Linked DNA regions of Drosophila melanogaster. The protein of the gene in region 1 interacts with the protein of each later gene in a pairwise test. Each region holds a gene or a part of one and is shown on either strand. Other genes may lie near its edges. The genes, in order: koi, eco, Es2 and CG31038.

Region 1 (7,693 bases):
ACAGACATTATGTACACCTGGCAGTACTTAGGTCACTAGAAGAGATTTGAACAGATTTATGTGGCCGGCGGCTTGCCGTGCACGCGAAACCGGTAGAGGCATGTATAGGTGGGATGGCCATGGTTCGTCTCGATCCGCAGTTCGACGATCTCGTACGGCCGTTTGATGTCCAGGTTTTGAACGGCAAAGTACTGGAGGGAAGCACCATTGTCCTCAAACTGGTAATCGCCGAACAATACGGGTTCCTGGTCCTTCTCCTGCTCCAAGCCCTGAGTTGATGGATAAGTCGTATTAGAAATGCACCACTTCCTTTCACCCTTAGTCAAACTTACCCAGACAGTGAAGTTGCGAGGAGCTGATTCTATTCTTCCTGTGGGGGATAGACTCTTCGGTATGTGCTCTAGGGTGAATCCAGTGACGTACACCAACGAGTTGAGCTTTAGCACTGTGGGAAGAAAACTATAAGGACTGTTTTAGCAATTACTATTTACCCGCGACTTGCCTAGAAATCCGGGAAACCCTTGGAATGCCCAGCATTCCCCTGGCTGCACATTGGGTGAAATGGCGACCCGCGGCGTGTTGGTGGGATACCAGAGTGGAATTCCAAACACCGATATCTGGGCTGACTTTGTCTGGTAGCTCTCAGTGCAACGCGTGGAAAGGATTTGGCCGCCCGCCGACTCCAGGGCGAAGTCCACCAGGCCCGTCTTGTCGGCATCGTAAATAGCTAGCACCGTCTTGACTATCTGGCGCACCTCCTCTTCGCGGATATGGCCCTTCAACGCTTTGGTGCTCTCGTTATGCTTGGCCTCCACAACCAGAAGAATCTCCCGTTTGAGTCGTTGGCTAATGTCGCTCATCAGCAGGATGCTCGAACGCTCAATCTCGTCGCGAATGTTGTTATTGGTGCGCTTGTTCAGCTCTAGCAGCTGCTGCTCCAGGTAGTCCTTGGCCACAAACATGCTGCGTACCCAGGTCTGCAGATCGAAGTCATCCAATTGGCCAGCGGAACCGCCAGCGGTGGATTGCTTAAAGCCCAGAATTTCGACAAGGGATAGCTTGATCTGCTTGTTGAGAAGAGCAAACTGCGAGTCGTTAAGCGCAGACAGTTTGTTTTCTATTTCAGCCAGCAACCCGTGGAAGCGCCTATCCTGGGAAAGTTCGTGCTGCTGTATGCGTTCCAGCAAATCCTCTTGGCCGAGCTTCAGATTGCTGATTGATTGGTGCAGATCGGCGTTCTCCGCTTGCTTGTCAGAGAGAGCCAACTTAATGAAGGCGATTTCCCTGTTCAGACGCTCAATTTGGACTTCTGCATCTGAGGAACCGGAACTCTCCTTTGGCTCGAGCTCTCCCACCCGAAGACTTATTCGAGCATCTACAAAGTCTGCCAATGCTGGCGCAGCAAGAATACGCTCCAGCAGGGATGCAAAGTCTATCCTGTCCAATTGAATGGTGTAGTGCGATTCGTGGAGGTGAACCTCTGCTTTAATTAGCTTGGTTATCTCCTCTAAGTTAGCTTGTGATAGTTTCGCTCCATCTTGCCAACCGCCTGAGCTTTGCAGCTCCAGTTTCAGTTTTATGGCCAGATCAGACAAATCCTTTTCGCTTAGCTCCGTTTTGTACATAATCTGCTTGAGGTTTTCCTTCATCAGCTTAACAAAGAGTTCAATCTGTTGCGGTGCGAGCTCCTTGGAATGCTGCTGCATTTTCAGCTCGACCAACTGCTGCACGTAGCTGTTTACATGGTTTAAGATATTTTCGTATTCCTCGGCAGTCAAGGCTTTCTGGATGTTCTGTTCAATGCTGGCCATGTTTACCTTAATGGCCTCGGCTTCCCGCTGGGGACTCCTGACGGTGGGCACTTCCATCCAACTTTTCAAGGTGGCTCCAGCATTTGAAAATCGACTACGTAGGGAGCCGAAAATAGATAGTGGCAGCGGCAACAGTGCTTCCGCACGCTGAACGTAAGCACTACGTTGATCCTCCTGCAAGAGCAACCATCCTGGGGAAGGAGAAAATTAAACATAGCACTATTAGTTGGCAATCCTTCTACATTTACAGTCCCTACCAACTTCAATTATCAACCGGACTGAGGTAACAGGGAACTCGTTTTTGGGGTTATTCCAACACAAATGCAGAAGGATAGAGTTCGATTCTGGCCAACTAATATTGCTTTGTTTACATCTTACTTACCATTTAGCGAACTTCCAACAAATGGCAAATAAAACAAACAACTCTTCTTTGTACTTGATGTTTCATATGAAATTGTTTGCGATTTATTTTTGTATAGACTATTACAAAGCAAACAGTGCACAAATTACAATTAAACGTTGTTTAACAACAAGTAAGATTTAGTTAGGGCACTAACCCAGACGGATAACGGCCCTAATTGTTGGACAAGAATGAAGTTAACGATTACGAAAGTTTTACAATTTGAACAGCGGCGAGCTCTATCCTTCTCCCATCAGCCTGTGATGTTGCATTTTGTTGGGAATTGTGTCGGTTAGTATGGTGGGGTATGAGAGGTGGGTTTGCCTATGAAGTGGGTAAATGACGGGACGAAAAACTATAAAGTAAGTGCGCAAAACTGCGGGTCAAGCAGACGGACAAAAAACGGATCAAATGCTTTATTTTGTACTCATATTGTTCATAAAGAAAGTTTCTCATATTTGTCTAAGTGCAAGGGGCGTTGCACCCAACCAGATCACTAAATCTGGTAGCTGTAGCCTGCCCATTGCAGATGTTCCCTACACACGCTCATAATAGACTTTATCATCGCCCTGAAATAACTGACGACCCTTGTTGACCACGTTCTGACCGATGGTTCTCAAGTACAAAACGTAGTCGTCGGCCCAATCGCGAACGCGGACCGCATGCTCGGCGGCCTGAGAGCGTAGCGATTCGAACTGCTCCTGGTTCAGGTAGTCTTTCACATCGATTTTGGGCAACTCAGGTAGGGTGAATGTGTATTCGGACAGGGATTTGGGTGGGAAAGTTTCATTGGGGTGTATGTAATAGAACAGACCTGCAAAGGCAAAGCAAATTAGGCGTTTAACCTTGGCAGACGGTGAATGGAAAATAAAATATGTCATCACATGGCCACTTAAATCTGATCCGCGGGATTTTACTAACAAATTATCGATGGCGTCACGCGACTGCCAACGACCAGACGAGTTTATAAATACAACGACTGGAGGTGATCTATATGCATGTAGTATGAATTCTCGAACCGGTACAAGGTCACGGCACACGCTCTAACATATTTTACTTTACATCAAAAATCGGACGGTGCTTTAAATCCTACTCACCCGACAGCAGCAGCAAGGGCAACAAAATCAGCAGAAATATGAGGAAGCGCTTTTTCGACTTGTTTTCCGCATCCGAGGATCGCAGCAACCACGTGTCCAAACTCAGCACCGATCCGATGAAAACATACAGGTAGCGCAGCAAACTTGCAAGTCCTCCTCCGATGGTCTGTACTATTTTCCACCAAAGTCCAACTTGTTGACTCTGCTGGCGCTTAGCGTGGTAGTTTTGATAGGCAGTCGTCTCCGTGGCCGAGAGATTGGTCACCCGACTCCACACGGTGGTAATGCTGCTAACAACCAGTTGGATGAGGCGGATAAGCCACCAGCTCTGCTTTTGCTGCCCAAATGTGGCGTCCAGTTCATCTGCGGAGTCATAGTTAACCTGCTGGGTATACTTGGACTGGTAGCGGCGGCGGATGAACTCCTCTTGCGCAGGGTTCTGCTGGACCATGTAGTTGACTCGATCGTTATGGTTCTCTAGGCTCTTTCTGGACATATTGGGCATGGCCACAATTCCTGGCGCCAACTGGCGTCGGTGAGGGGACAGTTCTGAGTAGGTATAGTCCGTCTTGGGAGTTTTGCTGCAAAATAGCATCATTAGTATACTGTTTAAAATGTGTAGAAATGATTCACTCACTTCCAGTATTCACCAGCATCCCTGTACTCGATGTAGGCCAGATAATCGCTGACATTTCCCGAGCTGAGGTTACCGTTCGATTGGTTTAGCTTTTCCTGGGCGGAATTCAGCGTGTTTTGTGTGGTCTCCAGCTGGCTTCTGTTCCGCGGTGTCGATGTGGCGCCGCCGGATCGCTTGGTGAGAATCGACGTGACTGTGGCCGTGATCGAGTTCTGTTTGCGTTTGGCATCCGGAGTCATGTCGTCGCTCGAATAGTCCGAGGTCAGCTGGGCGAACGCTTTTGCCCGGGTTTTCTTACTGATACTCGACTCCACTATATGCTCCTCTATTATCGTTCTGCAGAGAAGAGGTAAGATTTGGGAAAAATATTTCAGTAAGTCCGTGATAACGTGCTCGGAATCGTTTGAAACGACGAGTACAACGTATCAAAACAAAAACACAAAAATATGCTTATAACCGCCGCTGGCCTTCAGCGCAAACGACTGTTAGCCCACCCCAGCATGCTCGATTTAGAGGCTAAAACGTGAAAACGATTTCTGACGGCCGACGTTGGACTCCGAATGTCGTCATCGAGTCTTGAAGACTGATCATCAGACCGACCAGGCGCTCTCGAAATAGGCGCCAAAAACTAACGAAGCTCGACCAGATGCTGCACCCTGTATGCGGCTTTGCCTTCGTTTTCTACCCGCTTCGAAATTCAAATTCGCGGCGAGCGTGAATAACAAAAAGGTGACGTCATGGCGGCAGCACACGGCATACAAACATACAGTCGCTATGGATGTGTCTTACTACAGTCCAACTTGCTTACTGAAACCAATGGTCAGTATAGAAAAAGGTGACTCAGGACCAAATAGGAAATAATTATAGAGTTTAAACTGAATTCTCCTAATTCTCAAAATGAAATTGACTCGAACTCCGTAAACATATTGTATGCTTACAATTTTACTACTTATAAGGGCTAAAAATAATGTTATGGGTTCGCGATAAAGGGCTTCGTCCGTAGGCCTATTTCGGGAGTATCCCAGATACTTACTGCACATTGGGGGCCGCCGATTTCCTTTTGAGGTGGTGCACATGCCCCTCCTCTCCGGCGTGCTCACAGTTCTCATGGTCGCAGCTCGATCTCAGGAAGGGGGTCTTGGAACGCGACCGCCGACGCGTTTCTATCTGGTATGTATTTTCGCTCATGATTAGATTCCCTCCAGTGCTCGGGCCCTGCGAAGACACAAATAATTAACATGGGCAACGATTTATTTGGAGTAAACATTAAAACCAGTCTGTGTGTGTGTGCGTGTGCGTGTGTGTGCGTGCTAGGCGTGGGTTGTTTACAATTGGGCAGCTGGAAAACATTCGGTCTCTTCACTTCAATGCTCGAGTGCTTTCCGAAGCGAGCTTTCCCCGCCACATTAATGCCGCATTATGCAATGCAATGCGTGTGGAAATGAGCGCAGTGCCCGGTTTTTAATTAGAATGCATTGGGGAGGTAGGTAAGTAGGCAGGCCGCAAAGACCGCGTCTAAAAATAGGGCGGAGCATTTCGGATCGCGAATTGCTGCCAGTGACCGTGGGGATCCATTGGTGTTGGGCCACATAGCCGAAAACGACGCCCGCCCGGCCTTTCGCGCACAGATATCGGACTCCAGGGAGCGGGGTAGGGATGTAGACGCTACAGGGTGCTCCGGCGGACCACGCCATCCACAAACAACGCGCGATAATCAATACAATGGCTTACTGCCCAAAATGAGTTCGCAGCACAGGCGCAAATATTCGTTGATTCCGTGATTCGGTGAAATGGAAACCCAAACAAGTTTTCCACAGCTGCGTCATAGCGTACATATATGTACATATGTATGTACGTGAATGTAAAAATGAGGCACGCACGCACACAAACAAAAACTCCGCACAGTGCTTTCGGCAGTTTGCCCGCAAATATGTGACATACTTAGTAATATTTCTTGTACTGCCGTACTAATGAATTCCTCCGTTGAATAGCTGGATATGAATTTTGTTTGCAAGCGCCGCGACCGTTTTAAAAATAGCCTCCACCGTCACGACGGCAAAATCACGTCTATTCCGAGCGGCGAAAAAATTCGAATGAACGGGGAAGACACATCGATTATTCTAGCAATCATCGATGTTTCGCCGCCTATCGATTGTTCACATGGATTATTAAAGGGAACGTTGAGAAACGGAATTTGTTTTCATTAACCAAGAGAAATAATGGGTCAAGAATAAAAAATTTAATTTTTACACTTTTATCTTTTGTTCAACAAAGAAAAATAATTTGAATGAGGTGTGCAAATATGCAAACATACATTATTTTTCTATTAACGCCGAAACATTCGACTTCTGGCTTGATAACTAAGAAGAAGACTGAAATTTAAATATAAATTTGTTAACAAATATTATCGTTTTACAAGGATGTGATAGATTTGCGTCATGACAAGCAATTGAGCTTTCTAAGTATACTTTCAGACTTCTGATATCTTTAACTTCGACTTTCTATATGATTGTTATTTAAACATATTTAAAATTAAATAAAATATCGATAGCATTGCGGACAATTAGCGATCCCTCAAACCACTCGGTATTCGGTAAAGGGTATTTGACAACCCTAAGCAATAATACCACAACAAATCAAGAATTTATTGTTGTGATTTGTCTAGCAAAGCCATAAAATATGATAGAAATAACGTGTAACGATCGTCTTGGCAAGAAGGTAAGCAGCTAAGTACCCAAGGCAACTGCAAGCATCGTTAACCAACGATTAACCCACAGGTGCGCGTCAAGTGCAACCCGGACGACACGATTGGGGACCTCAAGAAACTAATCGCGGCACAAACGGGCACAAAGCACGAGAAGATTGTCCTGAAGAAGTGGTACACAATCTTCAAGGACCCGATTCGCCTATCTGACTGTAAGCCCTTGTTTAGTGTCCTTGTAACGCCTTGCTTTACCCGCATTTCTTTTTCGCTTTCTTAGATGAAATTCACGATGGCATGAATCTGGAACTTTACTACCAATAAAACTGCAAGGGAATACCGTTCCTGTGTCTAGTTTGTCCAATTTTTATAGCTTCTTTAATAAATAAAAAGATTTTGAATAATATATATTATTCGTTTTGGTTATGTTCTGATTCTTAAGGTCAATTTGTAATAGTGAAGATATATATTTTTGAGTAAGCTGTATTAAGCCCTTGGTTATCGGACTTCCCTTGACAATAACAAAATACATAGTTAGATTGATGAATTACAATTACAATTAATATTGTAATTTGCGTTTAATGCGCCCCTACGACTACGCCCCTGTAAAATTGGTATTATTTACAGCGTATGTTGCGGCGTTGCCAGATCGCATCAAAGGCTTCCAGAGAAAGAACAACAAATATTGAAAACAGCGCATTCAAGATTCCGTCGAAAATGTCAATGATTCCATTCTTTCCCACGCTCAAAGTCTCCGTGGCCAATCGCTACTGGTTGGACATGGCTCCTGCCTCCGTAAACGAAGAATCGCAGACGCGGCGTTATGAGGATGAAAGGAGCAACTGGGTGAGTTCTCTCCAGACACCGCTTTCTGTATAAATTGTTATAAACTTAAACCGTACAGCGAGAGTCCCTTAAGACGGCCGGCACAGATCTGCAGCCGCTGGGCAAAATGCTCACCATACCCGGAATTGAGACCGACGACGAGGATGGTGAGTACGGCAGGACACTGCATTCGGATTACCATTATCGTTTTTACGTCCAATT
Region 2 (6,199 bases), on another chromosome or scaffold:
CTGGAGGGCAGGGGAAGAAGAGTGAGAAAGCGGTTCAACCACCACGCTGCATGCCACTTGCACCCCGAAACCAATTGCCACCGATTCCAATTTGTCACATTGGGCGTGGCGTCACCAAAGTAAACTAACTAGCAGCACCAGCAGCTCCCCACTTAGCAGCTTATATGCGGATTGCACTTACCATTTGCGCGCGATTGGTGGTCACTGAGATTGGCACAAGTCCCATTCAGGTGTGTTACACACTTCTGCTCTTAAATGTTATTAATTTCAGCCACTTTGCTGCTACGAAAACAACGCCCAAAAGCCAGGCTCAGTGTGCTAGTGATGGCACTTTGTGGACTCGCCGCATGGTTGCAAGCGATCGATAACCATTCATCGATCGCAAGTGCAGGTTGTGTAAATTTTTTACTGCATACATTTAGACATTAAGTTATTTGTTAGAATTTAAATATATTAAACAATGTTTATAAACATACAATTTAAAAATTAACGTATGTGCTATTTTTGTAACACCAAATTTACATGTTTTAAAACCCGACACGTAAGATAAACAATATTAATCTATATTTTCAAAATTAATGCGACTCGAAGAAAATATCGTGTTCATTGCGTAAAAACAGGCATATTAAACCACCATTGTAAACATGTTAAATTGCGCGTCTTCGTGCCGCTAGTAACATAATCGCACTTGCTTATCAACTATTACAGGTTTCGAAGCAATCCTAACTCAAAAACAATCCAGCTATTCAATAGCTTCAATAGATTTCCCCGATCACTGGTCGTAGGTGAGGAAGTTATCCAACCCGGTGAACTGGCGTGCCAGAGCCCGACCATCGTCGGTGGGCGTACTGAAGGCAATGCACTCCCTAGCGATCTCTTGACCGAGCACCGTGTGGCACTGGACGACTCGCAGCAGCTTGCTGGCGATCCCGCTGCGTCGCTGCAGCGGAGAAACCCAGATGCGTGAGACGCCGCAGCTGAAAGAAGGCACATTTTAGCCGTTGACAAGGGAAGGGGCATGCAGTAGGGGATGTCTTACCTGGCCGGGTAGCTTTCCTCGCTGAAGTAGTCCGTGCCATCGACCTGGATGAAACGATGGGCCTGCGAGAGGGGCTGCACCAGGCAGAAGCCTACGATCTGCTGCTTGCGCACTGCTATGAAGGCTACAAAGATCTTTGGCACAATGTACGAGGAATAGCCCAGCTCTTTGTCCACCACACCAATGAGATCCCGCAGTCTGTCGAGCCGAGCTGTCGGAGCGCGTTCGTTGATCCGTATGATGCGCCCGTCGCTGGCCCATTCTGGATAAACGGACACAATGTCCTCGTCGATCCAGCCCTTGAAGCGCAGCACATGGATGGAATTGTGGTACTCGCGATGAAGCAGCTCCTCCTCCGGCTCGTGCACGGTGTACACCAATCCGCACTGCTGGCACTGCCGTGCTCCGAAGGCCTTTTGACCAGCATCGATCTGGTACTGATTCGATCCACCCGCCGCCGTTAGCAATCTCATCGATGTATCCGGCCGACGCCGCAACGATTTCTGGACAACGGGCTGTAAGCGTTGAGTGAATATGGGGAAAAGCTTTGGCTGAACTTCCTCTACTGCTGGCGCATCCTGTTTTGGTGCAATGGCCACCGCTGTATTTTCCACTGTTTCCATCTGAGCAAGCTGCGCAGCCTCCTCGCTGTTCACCACCATGTATAAATTGTCCACAATTTGATTGGCCTCGTCCTTGTAGTCATCCGGATTTGCAATAAATATCTCAAAGTTCTTTTCGGTGCAAATATTGTTGCTAATGAGAAACTCTAGTAAAATTTGCTGTTGCTCCACGACATTGGGATCATCGGTTTGGTATGGCAAACGTTGACGGAACTCAGCAAAGGGATCAATTTCCACATCGTTCGCCTCTGGGGCATACTCAATTATATCCGGTAGCGACTCCGTTTCCATGGTCGTCTCCTCCGCATCAATGGGCGTTGCCTGTACCACCGGATTCGCTTCTACAATCTCATCAACCACCGTATCGTCCAGATTCTTTAGGATCGCATCCACAGTCGCCTGCTCGGCGGAAAATATCGTGGCCGACTTGACGCGCACTTGCCGCGGCTTACGGCGTATCGTTTGGACGAGTTCAATCTTGCCCTGGCTGACGCTGGCCCGGATGTTGTCCGTGATTCTCACCTCCATGCAGGTGCTACTACGGCGGCCCGATTTGAAGAACTTTCGTTTGCTTAGATCGGCTGGCTCGGCGGTTGGGGATTTCTGGACCGGCTCGTGGCGAATTATTGGTATGATAGGCTCCACCTCGATGATGGGATCAATGTCTTCGACATCACTAAGATCGGAGAAATCGGCGGAAGTTTCTTGCCATGCGGTTGCTGGCAGATTGTTATTGTTGTTAGCATCGTCGGCTTCAATCACACTCAATGGTTTGGCCATTTTGATCGGGTCCTTGGCATTACGGAGAATCTGGTGGACTTCCTCCACTTTGGCGCGCTCTTCACGCTTGGTGGTGATCAGGTTCTTGAGCCGTTCGTTGCTCAGCGAGTTGAGAATGTTGTCCATATCGGTGGCTGGCAGTCGGTTGGCAAAACCGTGACGCTTGCGTATTTTGTGGTGAACTCCCTTATTAATGCCCAATAGTGGACGGGAGGTTGGCGAGATTTTCGTTGGTTGTTTAAGCGAATTCTTGGATATGGACGGCCGCCTTCTTGACTTTGTGACCGCTTCTCCACTGTGGGAATAGAAGGCCATGGTGGGAATGCTGCTGCTCAGCGTCACCTTGCGCATCTTGCTCTGCGGCGAACCAGAGTCGGCGTCCGCTGAAGGAGCAACCGGGGTGGACGTTTCTGGGTGCTGTCGCTTTTGAGGCTTATGATTGGATGCTTCTTCGTCCGATTCGGGCACTTCGACATCAATCTTCATACTACTTCCTGGGCTTTCTGGCCTTTTTGCTGTGGCAACTTCGGAAGATTTCGCTGTTTTATTGTTGGTGTTTCCTGTGTTTCGTTTTACTGCATCGTCATTTGACTTGAACACTTCTACCGGGGACTTGGATCTGCTTCTGCTGTTTTCTAGCTTAACTGCTGCTGTTTTTTCTTCATCATACGACCTCATGTTCTCATGTAGATGGGCAGCAGCCTTCAGCGTCTTGCAGTTTATATCCGCCGACGTGAAGGGTCTTCGCCTATTCCTGGTTTTTGGACTGATGATTTGCGAGCTCCTTGTTTCACGAACTTCTGTATTCTTCCTGGAGTTCTTACTGCTAGAAGGTTTCTCGTCGTCCGACTGGGACTCTTCAGCTGGGCTCGTTTTCTTCGGTTTAGTTGTATGCACTTGGGCAGTGGTCTTTAGGCTGTGGTTGTGTTTCTTCTTTGATTTTTCTAACATTGATCTTGAATCCTGACCCTTCATTAGCATAGCTGCCACCTTGCTTAGCCTAGTCTGAAAAGATTCTGGCGAGGAGAACGCATCTGGATCCTTTTGCGCACTGAAGGTTCGTGGACTGCGTCTGATGCTATTTCTGGCTCTGGAAGAAGGAGTTCCTTCAGAGGAAGAGGTGGGCGACGACATTGAAGAATCCGCTCGCTTTCTTTGGACCCTCGTCTGACGGGGGCTGCTGTTGCGACTATTGCTGCTGCTGTTGCTATTTAGCCGCATGGTGGCTGTAAACAATTGGGGCAGCTGCTCCGCCGTGGCAGTCATGACTCCGCCACGGGTTTTTTTGTTCTCCTTGTTGGTTTCCGGGCTGCTGTTCGCACTGCTGCTTGACTTGCCGGGGACTGCGGCGAAGAGACTCCTGCCCTTCCTGTTGGCCGCCACATGGGTCTTTAATGGCAAGACACCCAGACTGTCTACGTCCGCATCATCCTCGTCGTCGTTGATTTGGCGCAGCCTGGATCTGGGACTGCCAAACAGTTGCCGCTTGCGCTCCGAAAGGCGCGGAGTGGCCATGCGACTGGGACGCCCACTACCCGTCGGGGTCTCCATGATCGCGCGCAAATCTTTTATTTCGCATTAACTTTGTCCAAATTGTGACTCCTTCGCGCTTTTTTGTAGCTGCCTAGTGTTGGGGGTGGTTGGATCGTTCAGGGTCTCTTCGGTCGTTTGCCAACACATGCCAGATCGTCTATGTTTTTACTGCAATGTTTATATATATTAAATGCATTACATTGTTTTTAAATTTTTTTTACATCAATGTTTATAAAAATCAAATACATTGCAATGTAAATATTTTCTGTTAGTTATAATTTTTTTACCACATTTTACATTTAACATTTTTCTTCGAAGCGATCAAGTCAGCTTGCAGTTTTTCGTAAATTATTTGGACTTATTCTACGATTTCTGTAAAATAAATAAGTAATGTTAATTATATTCTTGATCCAAGACAAAGTATTCAATATAGTACCACTTAACGAGTTACGATCATGATCGCTAGACATTCTATGTTTTCTAATCTTCATATATTTTAAAGATTTCCGTATTATTTTAACTATCCGGTATTTTTACAGAGCTAAGGTGATCATATAACGGGAAAACTCTATCTGGTATTTCCACCCAAGTCAGACTCAGTCACACTCTTCCAGACGTCACACGGTCATATTGCGGACGAAGTGCGAATCGATTTGGAAAAATCTGCTGCTCGGCCTGGAAAGTAGAAAGTATAAAGCTCTGCGTTTATAATTTAATTTGCAGCCAAAGCCCGCTGCCGATCAGGTAAGTTAGCTCCCCCACATTATCCGTACCGCCATTTGAAAGCCACGCCAACGAGAACCGTGAGAAAATGTGAACTCTAGCCGCCGCCATCTTTTTTTATGTATGCGTTAGGCCACAACGCCAATAATGCGATTTAAAACCGAGTTTATTAAGATTACTCGCGCTCCTTGTGCTGCTGCCTTAATGTTTATCCTTTGCTCGTATTGGTTAAAATAGAAAACAATTGCACTGTCTTCTCTCTTCTCTTGAGGTATCGCGTTTGTTCGTCGCCGTTGTCGTCCTCCAACCGCGGTATATACATACAAACATATAGGCAAATATATATAAATATATTTTCGACGCAGCCGCCGCCGCCGCCGCCGCGTAGATATCCATTTTCCGGGATTACCCCACCCAGAGTGATATAAACGATATAACCGTGGACGACCACGCAGCGGAACCCGCTGCCGCCATGCCCGGAGCCGGCACGTTCAAGTTATTCATCGGGAATCTTGACGAGAAGACACAGGCCACCGAGCTGCGTGCACTGTTCGAGAAGTACGGTACCGTCGTCGAGTGCGACGTGGTGAAGAACTATGGCTTCGTTCACATGGAGACGGAGCAGCAGGGTCGCGATGCCATACAGAATCTGAACGGTTATACGCTGAACGAGTTCGCCATCAAGGTGGAGGCGGCCAAGAGCCGGCGGGCGCCCAATACGCCGACCACGAAAATCTTCGTGGGAAATCTAACGGACAAGACGCGGGCGCCGGAGGTGCGGGAACTGTTTCAGAAATACGGCACCGTCGTCGAATGCGACATTGTGCGCAACTATGGTTTTGTCCATCTGGACTGTGTCGGTGATGTGCAGGACGCCATTAAGGAGCTGAACGGTCGCGTTGTCGATGGCCAGCCGCTCAAGGTTCAAGTGTCGACCAGTCGGGTCCGCCCCAAGCCGGGCATGGGCGATCCGGAGCAGTGCTATCGGTGCGGAAGATCCGGGCATTGGTCGAAAGAGTGTCCGCGACTGTACGGCAGTGCCGGAGGCGGACGCGAGCCGCCATCGCCCCTCAGCGCCGGCGGCTACAGAGATCGCATGTACGGTCGTGACCCGTATCCGCCGCCACCACCGCCGCCGCCGTTCCTGCGTGACCGCATCATGGATGGCTTTAGGGTAAATTCAGCATCCATTTGCCCCCCCGATCAAATCATCCATTGTGCCAAGTATTATTCACATTCTGTGCTGCTACTAATCTAAATCTTGTTTTCCCGCCCGCAGGACTATGACTACTATGACCGCCGCTTCGAGGACTCACGCGATCTGTATGAGCGTCGCTATCAGACCTCGCGAATGCGCGACTTCCCACCGCCGCCCATCTCTCGCCGCGAACCCATGCCTCTACCGCCCACCTTAAGCGGCAGCCTGCGCTCCTGCAGCGTTTCTCGTGGATACGACACTATGTTCAGCCGGCGCTCGCCTCCGCCGCCGCGTAGCAGCAAT
Region 3 (4,063 bases), on another chromosome or scaffold:
GGTGGTTAATCTCAGCACCTTGGCAGCCATTGCACCTATATCCTCGATGGCACACTATTGCACGGTGAAGGCAGCCCGTGAGATGTACTTCCGAGTGCTGGCCACCGAGGAGTCCGCCGAGGACACCCTGGTGTTGAACTACGCGCCCGGCGTCATAGACACACAGATGACCGTCCAGGTTCAGCGAGAGGCCCACGATCCCGCCGTGGTCGCCATGTTTCGAGAGCAAAGGGAGTCCAAGACCATGCTGACTCCCGCCCAAACGACGGAGCGATTCATCAAAGTCCTGGAAGCATTCAAGTTCAAGTCCGGCGATCATGTGGATTACAGGGATGAGCAGTTCTAGCTAGTTAATCAGTATGTTGCTATCTGTGGTAATGGGGTTTTTCGTATTGAAACATTAAAATGAAACTAAAAATGTGCGCAAGTGTTTTTGCTACAACACCCAATACATCTTAATGAACTTCAAAGCTGATAAGATATGTGTATGATGTTTATGATTTACGCATTCTTAAATCTTCTTTCCAACAACTCGGCATCTATTTATAAGAAATATACAATTCGTAACAACACTGTGGGACTATGTATAGTATTCTCTAATGAAATTAAACATGAATAATGTAGCTGGGTTATGGGTAATGTTATGTACTAAAAGAAATCGGCTGCAGTGCGTCGTTTAGTGGGTATCTTGAGCAGATCGTCCGTGAGCGTGGATCCCGTATCAATGGTAACGTTCTTAGCCGGAGTGCTAATCTTGGCCTGCTGTTTGGGTTTGGGTTCACCCAGTATTGGCGTATTGGTGCTCCTCACCACGCCGGGCGTAACCTTTCGTTTTCTGCCGCTCATCGGCGATGGTGTGTGCCTTAATCGGGGCGTGCCGCGGATACCCAGCTTACCCGTGGCCAGTAGCTGCGCTGCCGGCGACATGCTGGCCAGCCGTTCCATATTGGTGCGTATCAGTGGTGAGCCAATGTTACGACGCGCCGTATCCAGAGCCATTTGTTTTTGATTTCGCATCCTTTCGCTGACCCTTTCGGCCAAAGCGATGGCGATGTTTTCGCGCCGAGAGTTCTCATTAATCCGGAACGAGGGTCCTTGTGTGGGCCGCAATGGGGTATCGCCTCCGTCCAGGCGAAAGGGAGTGCCATCGATCTCACCCCAGGTCATTATGGGCGAGAAAGCCTCTCCGGGTCGCGGTGATGGTGAACGCAACAAATCGAAGCCGCGTACCTTCGGAGTAGCTGTGGCACCACCAGCCCCATTTTGGGGCACTTCATCATTCAGCTTTTTAGTGTCCATTTCGCGATGCTTTGCCTCATCGGGCAGCCTGGTGGCATTGTGTTGGATGCTCTGCTTCCGTTCGGCCAACTGGACGCGCTCCTCCTCTGTGTACTCCACGCCATCGGGCACGTACATAATGGAATTCATGTTGGTGTAGTTCCAGGTTTCGATCTTTCTCAGCGGATCTGGCTCCTCGAATTGCGTTTCTATGCTGGGCAGCATTAGGGCCCGCTGCAGTTGCTCTGCGGAGAGCTTCTCATGGTTGTACAGTACTGCGTATTTTTGGCGCAGCTTGGCCTCGGCCGTTTCGATGATCTCCTGAAAGCTCTGGTTATCCTCGCTGGTGTACTTCTGCAGAAAGGCGTCCAGCGATAGCTTCGCGGTGGTGTCCCTGCCCTCGGCATCGCTCTTCTCGGAGCCGTCCGTGGAAAATGGTGTGTCTGTGGCCCGGGAATTTGGCAATGGGGTGTTGCTACATTTCGCCTGACTCACTGGTGTCTCAAATGTGGCCGGGGACATGGCTGAAATGAAGGAATTCAAAAAGTTAATGGGTCTATCTATTGAACTTGGCCAATGTATAATTTCATCAGACTTGATTTCAAGTAAGATAGTAGCAGACAGCGATGTGCCAGTGGTGTTCATCCAATTGAGTACAATACCCACCATTATTCCGTCGGCTGGTGCTTCTTCCTGTCCCGGAAATCCTGCCCAGACTGTAGCGCTCCCGAATCTCGGCCATTTGTACAAAGTCGCGCCGTGACTCCGCGTCCAGGTAGTCGTTTTGGGCACGCAGCCGCTCCAGATCGGGAAAGAAGTCGCGCTGGATGATCTTAGACATCTCCTCGATGTACTTCTCCTCGGTAAGGATCTTTGGCTTGTTCTTGTGGCGCACCATCGCCGTGGGCTTTTTAAACTCGGCGAGTGCTGAATTCTGGACGCGGGCCACTTCCATGGCCAGGCTGCCGGGAGTGCCAGGTGTCCCCGGTGTGGCAGGTGTTCTAGTCGTGGCGCTCATTGCCGTTTATATCTCGCTTTTTTCGTAAATAACTTTGTTTTGTTTAGATATAAAAAGTGAATATTTTTGTCTGCCAGCAAAGTGTGACCGTTTTAAGTTTCACTCAGAATAACAAAACGTCGGTTCAAAATATTTCCCTGTATTTTTTTTTAATTCTCGGATGTAAAAGGTGAAATTAATCAGCTTAAAAGTTTCGACTTCCTTTACAATAAATTGGTGAGTATGAACCAATTTAAATTTAAATAGAAACAAAATGATATTTTGCTAAACTATATTAATTAAAAACTCTGGCAAGGAGTACTTATCGACGTGTTATCGATAAGTGTGGAACGCATTCAAATGCGCGCTAGCATTTGAATTGAAATTTTAATGCGATTAGCTAGCACTTGAAAATGAAATTTATTACGATTTTGCAAACATTAAAGATATATTTTTAAAACATCTGGAAGTTTCGCAAGTGCGCTGACTAACCCGCTGAACATAATTTATGAAAATGAATGTATGCCAAAGAGCGACAACTTTAGCGTCGTGAATCATTTCAAAACACTTTTTTTTCTCAACTCACCAATAGAATTACTGTTGTCGTGGTGCCTTATCGTAAAGCTGTAGGTATATATGAATAGGGTATAAAGCTCGGCAAAACTCAAATCACTCATTGAACCTTTTCTACTCCCTTAGTTCTGGTTCAGCTCCGTAACCAGTCGCAACATTCGATCGTCGTGAAATTAGTTACATCAGTTATCAGCCATGAAGTTTTACCTGTTGGTGATTGCAGCCCTCTCGTTTTTGGCCTACATCAGTTGTGGTAAATGTTGTACCTGCCTAAATGTTGTTCCAAAATAAGTTTCACTTTTAATTTTCATCGGGATCGTATTTTTTTTTTTTTAATTTTCTTTTTGCTCTTTGAATTGAAAAACTTATTGAGTGTTTTATATAAGGTGTGATAAGCGGTGATATCATGGACACGGAAATAAATTCATGATAAGCTATCAATAGGCGAGTTTCCAAAGAAACTTTTAAAGGTTCTTAGCTTTGTAACTGGGCAAACATATTCTTTTTTTTCTAAGTGTGAGTGAGCCAGCAAAAAGATGTGAAAATTGTACGCCATATATTTAAACCATGTGTACATACAGCTGTGTTCAAAAAAATAGCAGTGCAAGAGAAACTAAGAAATGCGACGGTTTTTTTTTCATGTTTCGGGATCGAATTTTTATTCCACTTATTTTTGTGAATTGGAATGTGTAGATAGGGAAAAAAAGAAAATGTCGTTAGTTTTCTATGCTATCCTTTTTTTTATTTACATTCTTGAGCAAAATCACAACTTTTAGGCTGTTCAACAGAATAGCAGTGTCTGGTTTTGACCAACGTAAACTCCCGAAATGATCAATATTTTCTAAAAAGTGAGTTTGAATTTGAATTTGAATTTGTATATTTAAAAGGGCAATAAATTAAAAAAATAAAAAATAAAGAAACGCAGAAGCAAATCGGCTAAGAATAAGTTCGTTCTAAGTCAAGTTGAATTTTGTTACTATTTTTTCATAGCACTGCTATTTCTGCTTGTTTTAATCTATATTTTCGAAACTATTAAAAAAATGAATGTGAAACATTTGTTGAATTGTTTAAAATTAAATACCTAATGATATTATAAAAAAAATTTTCCCATTAAAACTTGAAATCTTAAGATTTTTTTATTTTAAACTCAAGCACTGCTATTTTTATGAACACAGCTGTATGTCAGCGGTAATTTAATTTCTCTTTGTGATGAAG
Region 4 (5,020 bases), on another chromosome or scaffold:
CGCCTAAAGTCTTAACCTAACTAACCTATTATAATTAACTTTTAAATGATATATATTTTGTGTAAAGTAAATATGTGCAACCAGGACGCTAAATGTAACTTTAATTCTACCAACGAAACTTACGTTGGCGGGGGTTTGGTTTTGAAGTGCTTCCGGATTAGAGTACGTCTAAACATTCATTCCTCCAGCCAGGCATGGTATTTAGCAAAGCTTAACCTTCATATTTGGGGCTTCCTGAGGTGCGAGCTGGTTGAAAGTTAAGTAGCTGGCAAAGTAAACAGGCGGTTGTAATTCTATACTGATACTGCAGACATTCGTAAATCTTAGGTATTATAATTCCGGGAAGGGATGACGTATAGATAATTAATGAGGGAGCAAGTGAAATGCAAGACTTGAGTGGAACAGCCTTCGGTTTGAATGGTTTGACTCCCTTTGACTGCCTTTTTGCCGTCCCGCCTGATTTGCATAGTTTGGGGCTGACCGTCTACTCGCTCAATAATGAATGCGTCAGTTTCAAATGGCATTACCCCCGAAAACGAAGTTGATAGTCTGCGACAAGTAGTATGTGCAATGCTATGTGGCACCATAAATAACGTGGCCATTCTAGTGTCGCATTCTGGGTCCTTTTGCTTAGCAATGACAATAGTAAAAGTGCTGAAAGGGAAGCACGATTAGAGCTATTACTTACACTGGCTATGTTTATGTTTTTATATGTACTGTATGCATTCATGGCGCAGCAATTCTGCAAAATTTCTGCATATTTGTTAGGGTGGACCTGAGTTGTACTCATGAGTACTCATACAAATCACTCATACGTAGTGTGGACCTTTTCATTTGATTTTCACAAGGAAAGGCATGTCAGTATCCAAAAGCAATATTAAGTAAAATAAATGTCCTGGTTGGGATCTTACTTTCTCCATAAAAATAAAGTCATGGGATGTTTCCGAAAGAGGAATCGTGTTAGGAATCTATGTTAGCTTGCCTAACAGGTCGTATGAGTAATTTATTAAACGCTTGGCTTTCTTGTTATATCTGATCATTAACTTGTATATAGGCTATGATTCCCCATGAAAGTCCACCCTACGGCACGTACTCCGGTACTTGCACAGGCAATCAATAAAGATTTTTTTTTGGGGAGTTCGGGTGGCGGGTGCTTTGTCGCGATGCGGCAACAACAGCTGTTGCAACGCCAGACGACCCCCCAAAAAAAGGAAAACCGAGCAGCAGCCAGACGCCGGCAACCGGGGAACCTCATCATCGTCATCGTACTCCAGCACCACCCGTTTCAAGAAGCAATCAATGCACTTCTGGCCATGTGCCAAGTTTCTCTTCCGAAAACCTGGAGAGGAGCAGAGAATCGGCCAAAAGAGAGGAGCAGCGGTGTATAAGAGCTGGTTGGGTTCCATTCGGTTGCGGTTGAAAAGCTAAAGTTAATTTAAAGTTCAACCCGTTTGGTTTCTAACTTTTCGGAACTTTAACCGTGTATTTTGGGTTTGGTTTATATAGTTTGGTACAGTAGTAAAAGATACGAAACATTTGCGTTGAAATCAATTTCAAATTGTTGTTTAATTAAGAAGCCAAGTTCCTTATTTACGTAGGTGCTCACAGTGGAATATAAGAAATAATTGTTCCTAAAATAATCCTTTGTACACGAATACAAGAACTTACTCAATAGTTTAAAATGCTTACCTATATTTTTGTAACGAAATATAATTCATTTTACATACAAATAAAAATAAACCGAATTTATTTGCATTCAGCTTGGTAAATAATAGAGTAACTGCGTGACTGCATGCGATGCAAAATTATCTTTGAAGTGCAGACTTTTCGAGTTGTGCCGCGTCACTCGTTTACCCAAGGCACCCACACTGTCGCACTCGCAGACACACACACACACGCATACCAGTGCGGCCGTGTAGCAACAACAATGTTGAGCAAGGTGCGCTGAGCCTCGCTCTTTCGAATCTTTCTCTCCGTTTCGGTTTCAGTTCACTTCTGGCTCTCGTGCAAAGCGCATCGTACAGCGGATATATCGCATCTGTATCGTATCGTAAAACGAATCGTATTCGCATCCGTGTCGGTCGCATCTGCGTGCTAGTGTGTGTGAGTGTGCCCGGGTGTGTGCGAGTTGGTGTGTCCGCTGCAATGGTCTTGGCTATTTGAAGCGCAAAAGTGCAGTATTTACTGTTTGGTGATTCACTCAATCATTAGAATACCCAAGAGATAACTATCATATCTTGGGGTTTTCCCAACGAACCGATCCGATAAAATGGAAACCCTGTAAACTCATGCTCCCCCGCCTTAAAAATCGGTTCAGTGATTTACGTGTGGGTGTGGGTGCAGTGCTTAAATTATACACGTAAAATTTAAACAAATAAAGGCTGTTAAAAAATCGTAAACTCGAGATCCAGCTAGTGCCGAATTCAGTGCTAAAGTGAAACTTCTTTGTGCAAACAACAAAAACCGTTAATTGCCAGCGCCATTCTTTTAAAGGCCCCGACTTATAAAGAGTGTTTTCAGTGCCTATATGGTTTTACTTAAGTCTTTTGTTTATCGTTGTACCCATATTGTTTTCAGTTTATCAATATATAGATAATTATCTAAATGGAGGAGCTTTGTTAATTGATATAACAAGCCTTAAGCGTTAATGTTCCCATCTCATAGGTCCAAGTCAGAAAACCAATCCCCTTTCACTTTAAACAGATCAGAATCCAAGGATTAGGTCGCTTATTCTTTTTCCAAACTAATGAACAATTAAATGGCACGGCGTTGTTGGTCGCAAAGTTTCCATTGCCCGATGCAGAGACCCAAAACCAAAATAAACGGAACCCTTTCACTTTAAAATCCACAGAACCCCAAAGATCGAAAACGAGTTTCGCAAAAGAGCAAAGAGCCGAGCGGCGGCCATGCTTATATTCCATATCGAATAACTGAATAGCCGACCAATAAAGTGTTACTTGGCACATCCAACATCCAACGTTCAACTAGCAATCCAACTTACAATATCCAGCATCCAACTAGCTCCGTTGCATTGGCCTATATTCAAAATAGATCAGAGATCGACTCGAGAGACCGGAGGAGATGTGGATGAGGTGGTGACGAGGAGCTGCGGAGGAGATCGCCATGTGAGAAGAGCAAAACTAGTTTCCCATTTGCGCGCTTATGCTAAGTAATAATAATAAATAAGCGCAGTAGTCTCTGGCTTGCCGTTCGAGAAGTGACCTAAAAATACTGGTTTCGAGTGCGGTTTTGGCGTGAGAACGTGTAGCACAGCGAAGGCACCACCACCACCACCAATGGCCACCACAGCCGCCGGATCAGCAGCCACCACCACCAACACGATGGTGGTGAAGCGGCCAGGACCACCAGTGCCGCCCAGGCCCAAAGCAGCAGCTCAGCTGGCCAATGGAGCAGGAGCCCCTCCGATCATTCAGAAGAAGCCCACCTTCGTGAGCCAGCTGAGTGCAGTGGGTCGTACCTTGGTCTACAAGTCGCCAACGGTCAATCTGCCCAAGAAACAGGCCCAGACCCAGACGCCCACCACGGCGGTGCCAACGCCGCCGGTGAAGCCCCTGAAGCTGCGCAAGGCACCGGATGTGCCCACGGCCAAGCCCAGGGATTCAATGACCTCGGTGGTCACGGTCAACCGGCATAACTCGATAAGCGTGATCGGGAGCACGCCACAGACCACACCCCGCAAGGACACCCGCTTGAGCCTGGGAAAGGTGGACTTCGAGAGGGCGGGCCTCCAGCCGGCCAGTCAGCCACTTCCCAGGCCACGGAAAATTGTTCAAGTGCCCGTGGCCACTCTAGATGTGGAAGACATACCAGTGGTGGCTCCCAGCCCATCATCAAATGGACTCTTCAGGCGATCAAAGACCACCCTGGATGGCAGCCAGAAGGATTCGGCATCCTCCCCGCACAATGGAGGAGGATTCCTGTCCGGACGGACCGTGGAGATCAAGAATAATCTGAAGAACGCCGCCGAGCGTTTGTTCTCGGAGATAATCATCAACCAGAGCCAGAAACAGGCAGCCACCGACACCACCATCATAACCAAGCACGAGGCCCTGAAGCAGGAGTCCGATGTCCTGGCCATCCAGTCATCGGGCAACTGCATGAGGATCAATGTTAACGGCGGCCAGACGAGCACCATGAAGAGCTCGATCAGCGTGGGCAACACGCCGCAAAAGAAGCAAGCCTTCCACGAGATGCTCATCTCGGAGCTGGCTGCCATGCGGAACAAGTCCTGCTCCCTGGAGCAGCTACCCACCGCCAAGTCGCCGCCACCCACCACTTCCACGCCCAAAAGCGTGGCATCTCGCAGGCGCTACAACTCTATAGATGATGCCGACACCGAGGATGTGGATGCGGACAACGTGGAGGATGCCGATGGTGACGTCGACGAGGAGGACACCCTCACCTACGCAGTCAATAAATCGCTGAAGGAGAACATTGGCAAGGAGGGCTCGTCCTCGAGGAAGCGCTGCCCCTCGGGCTGCTCCACAGACTCCTCGCCCTACGGAACCGAGCGATCCCAGCGCATCCGCACCTCGGATTGGATCGAGGTGGGCGACAACGGCACGGCAGTTACTCTGACTAGCTGCCACATCAGCCTGGAGGACTCGGGCATGGAGGACGAGGAGCGGCTGGACGACATGTCCTCGGGAGTGGGCGACAGCTGGGACAGCGTCAAGGAGGCCGAGAGCGAGAAGCGTTCTCGCAACGGAAAGCGGTGAGTCTCGAAACTATTACTATAATTAAAATTATATCTAGTAAGTGCATCTAATGAGATTCGTTGATAATGAAGGAACAGATAGTTTTAGCATCCATAAATGAAGCTATAACATTATTTATTGCTATTGCCGTTCATTAAACGTTAATGAGTATGGAAATTAGCTGTTTGCCGAGGGAAAACAAAATCTTGACCATCAATTGAAGATCTTTAAAAACGGCCCCATACGTTGGAGGTCGTAATAGTTTCGAGCTGAGCCCGATCATCCAAGATCGCCCATTGCTA

The links.
Region 2: the proteins of koi (region 1) and eco interact in a two-hybrid assay, tested with the Drosophila melanogaster proteins (one large-scale study listed by BioGRID).
Region 3: the proteins of koi (region 1) and Es2 interact in a two-hybrid assay, tested with the Drosophila melanogaster proteins (one large-scale study listed by BioGRID).
Region 4: the proteins of koi (region 1) and CG31038 interact in a two-hybrid assay, tested with the Drosophila melanogaster proteins (one large-scale study listed by BioGRID).

What each region holds. Positions count from the first base shown.
Region 1 is NT_033778.4:6,809,369-6,817,061, reverse strand, and holds the start of koi (klaroid), read right to left. Parts: upstream 6,044-7,693; 5' UTR 5,887-6,043; intron 5,275-5,886; exon of another isoform or gene 5,161-5,274; 5' UTR 5,134-5,160; coding exon 4,979-5,133; intron 4,531-4,978; exon of another isoform or gene 4,368-4,530; intron 4,282-4,367; coding exon 3,946-4,281; intron 3,890-3,945; coding exon 3,309-3,889; intron 3,026-3,308; coding exon of another isoform or gene 2,748-3,025; exon of another isoform or gene 2,250-2,747; intron 2,003-2,249; coding exon 503-2,002; intron 446-502; coding exon 333-445; intron 270-332; coding exon 57-269; 3' UTR 1-56. Other genes in the region: ubl (ubiquitin like), read left to right, coding at 6,625-6,663, 6,723-6,861, 6,927-6,970; CG15237 (uncharacterized protein), read left to right, coding at 7,364-7,492, 7,551-7,638. UniProt on the Drosophila melanogaster protein: Component of the LINC (LInker of Nucleoskeleton and Cytoskeleton) complex involved in the connection between the nuclear lamina and the cytoskeleton. Is required to nuclear migration in eye and to anchor klar in the nuclear membrane.
Region 2 is NT_037436.4:7,334,899-7,341,097, forward strand, and holds eco (establishment of cohesion), read right to left. Parts: upstream 4,443-6,199; 5' UTR 4,412-4,442; exon of another isoform or gene 4,368-4,411; intron 4,348-4,367; 5' UTR 4,263-4,347; intron 4,144-4,262; 5' UTR 3,994-4,143; coding exon 1,040-3,993; intron 978-1,039; coding exon 773-977; 3' UTR 544-772; downstream 1-543. Other genes in the region: lark, read left to right, coding at 5,171-5,872, 5,978-6,199. UniProt on the Drosophila melanogaster protein: Acetyltransferase required for the establishment of sister chromatid cohesion and couple the processes of cohesion and DNA replication to ensure that only sister chromatids become paired together.
Region 3 is NC_004354.4:8,459,804-8,463,866, reverse strand, and holds Es2 (Es2), read right to left. Parts: upstream 2,389-4,063; 5' UTR 2,297-2,388; coding exon 1,945-2,296; intron 1,803-1,944; coding exon 649-1,802; 3' UTR 518-648; downstream 1-517. Other genes in the region: Sptr (sepiapterin reductase), read left to right, coding at 1-346; CG15347 (uncharacterized protein), read left to right, coding at 3,044-3,101.
Region 4 is NT_033777.3:29,875,076-29,880,095, forward strand, and holds the start of CG31038 (uncharacterized protein), read left to right. Parts: upstream 1-1,983; 5' UTR 1,984-2,040; exon of another isoform or gene 2,041-2,851; 5' UTR 2,852-3,296; coding exon 3,297-4,735; intron 4,736-5,020.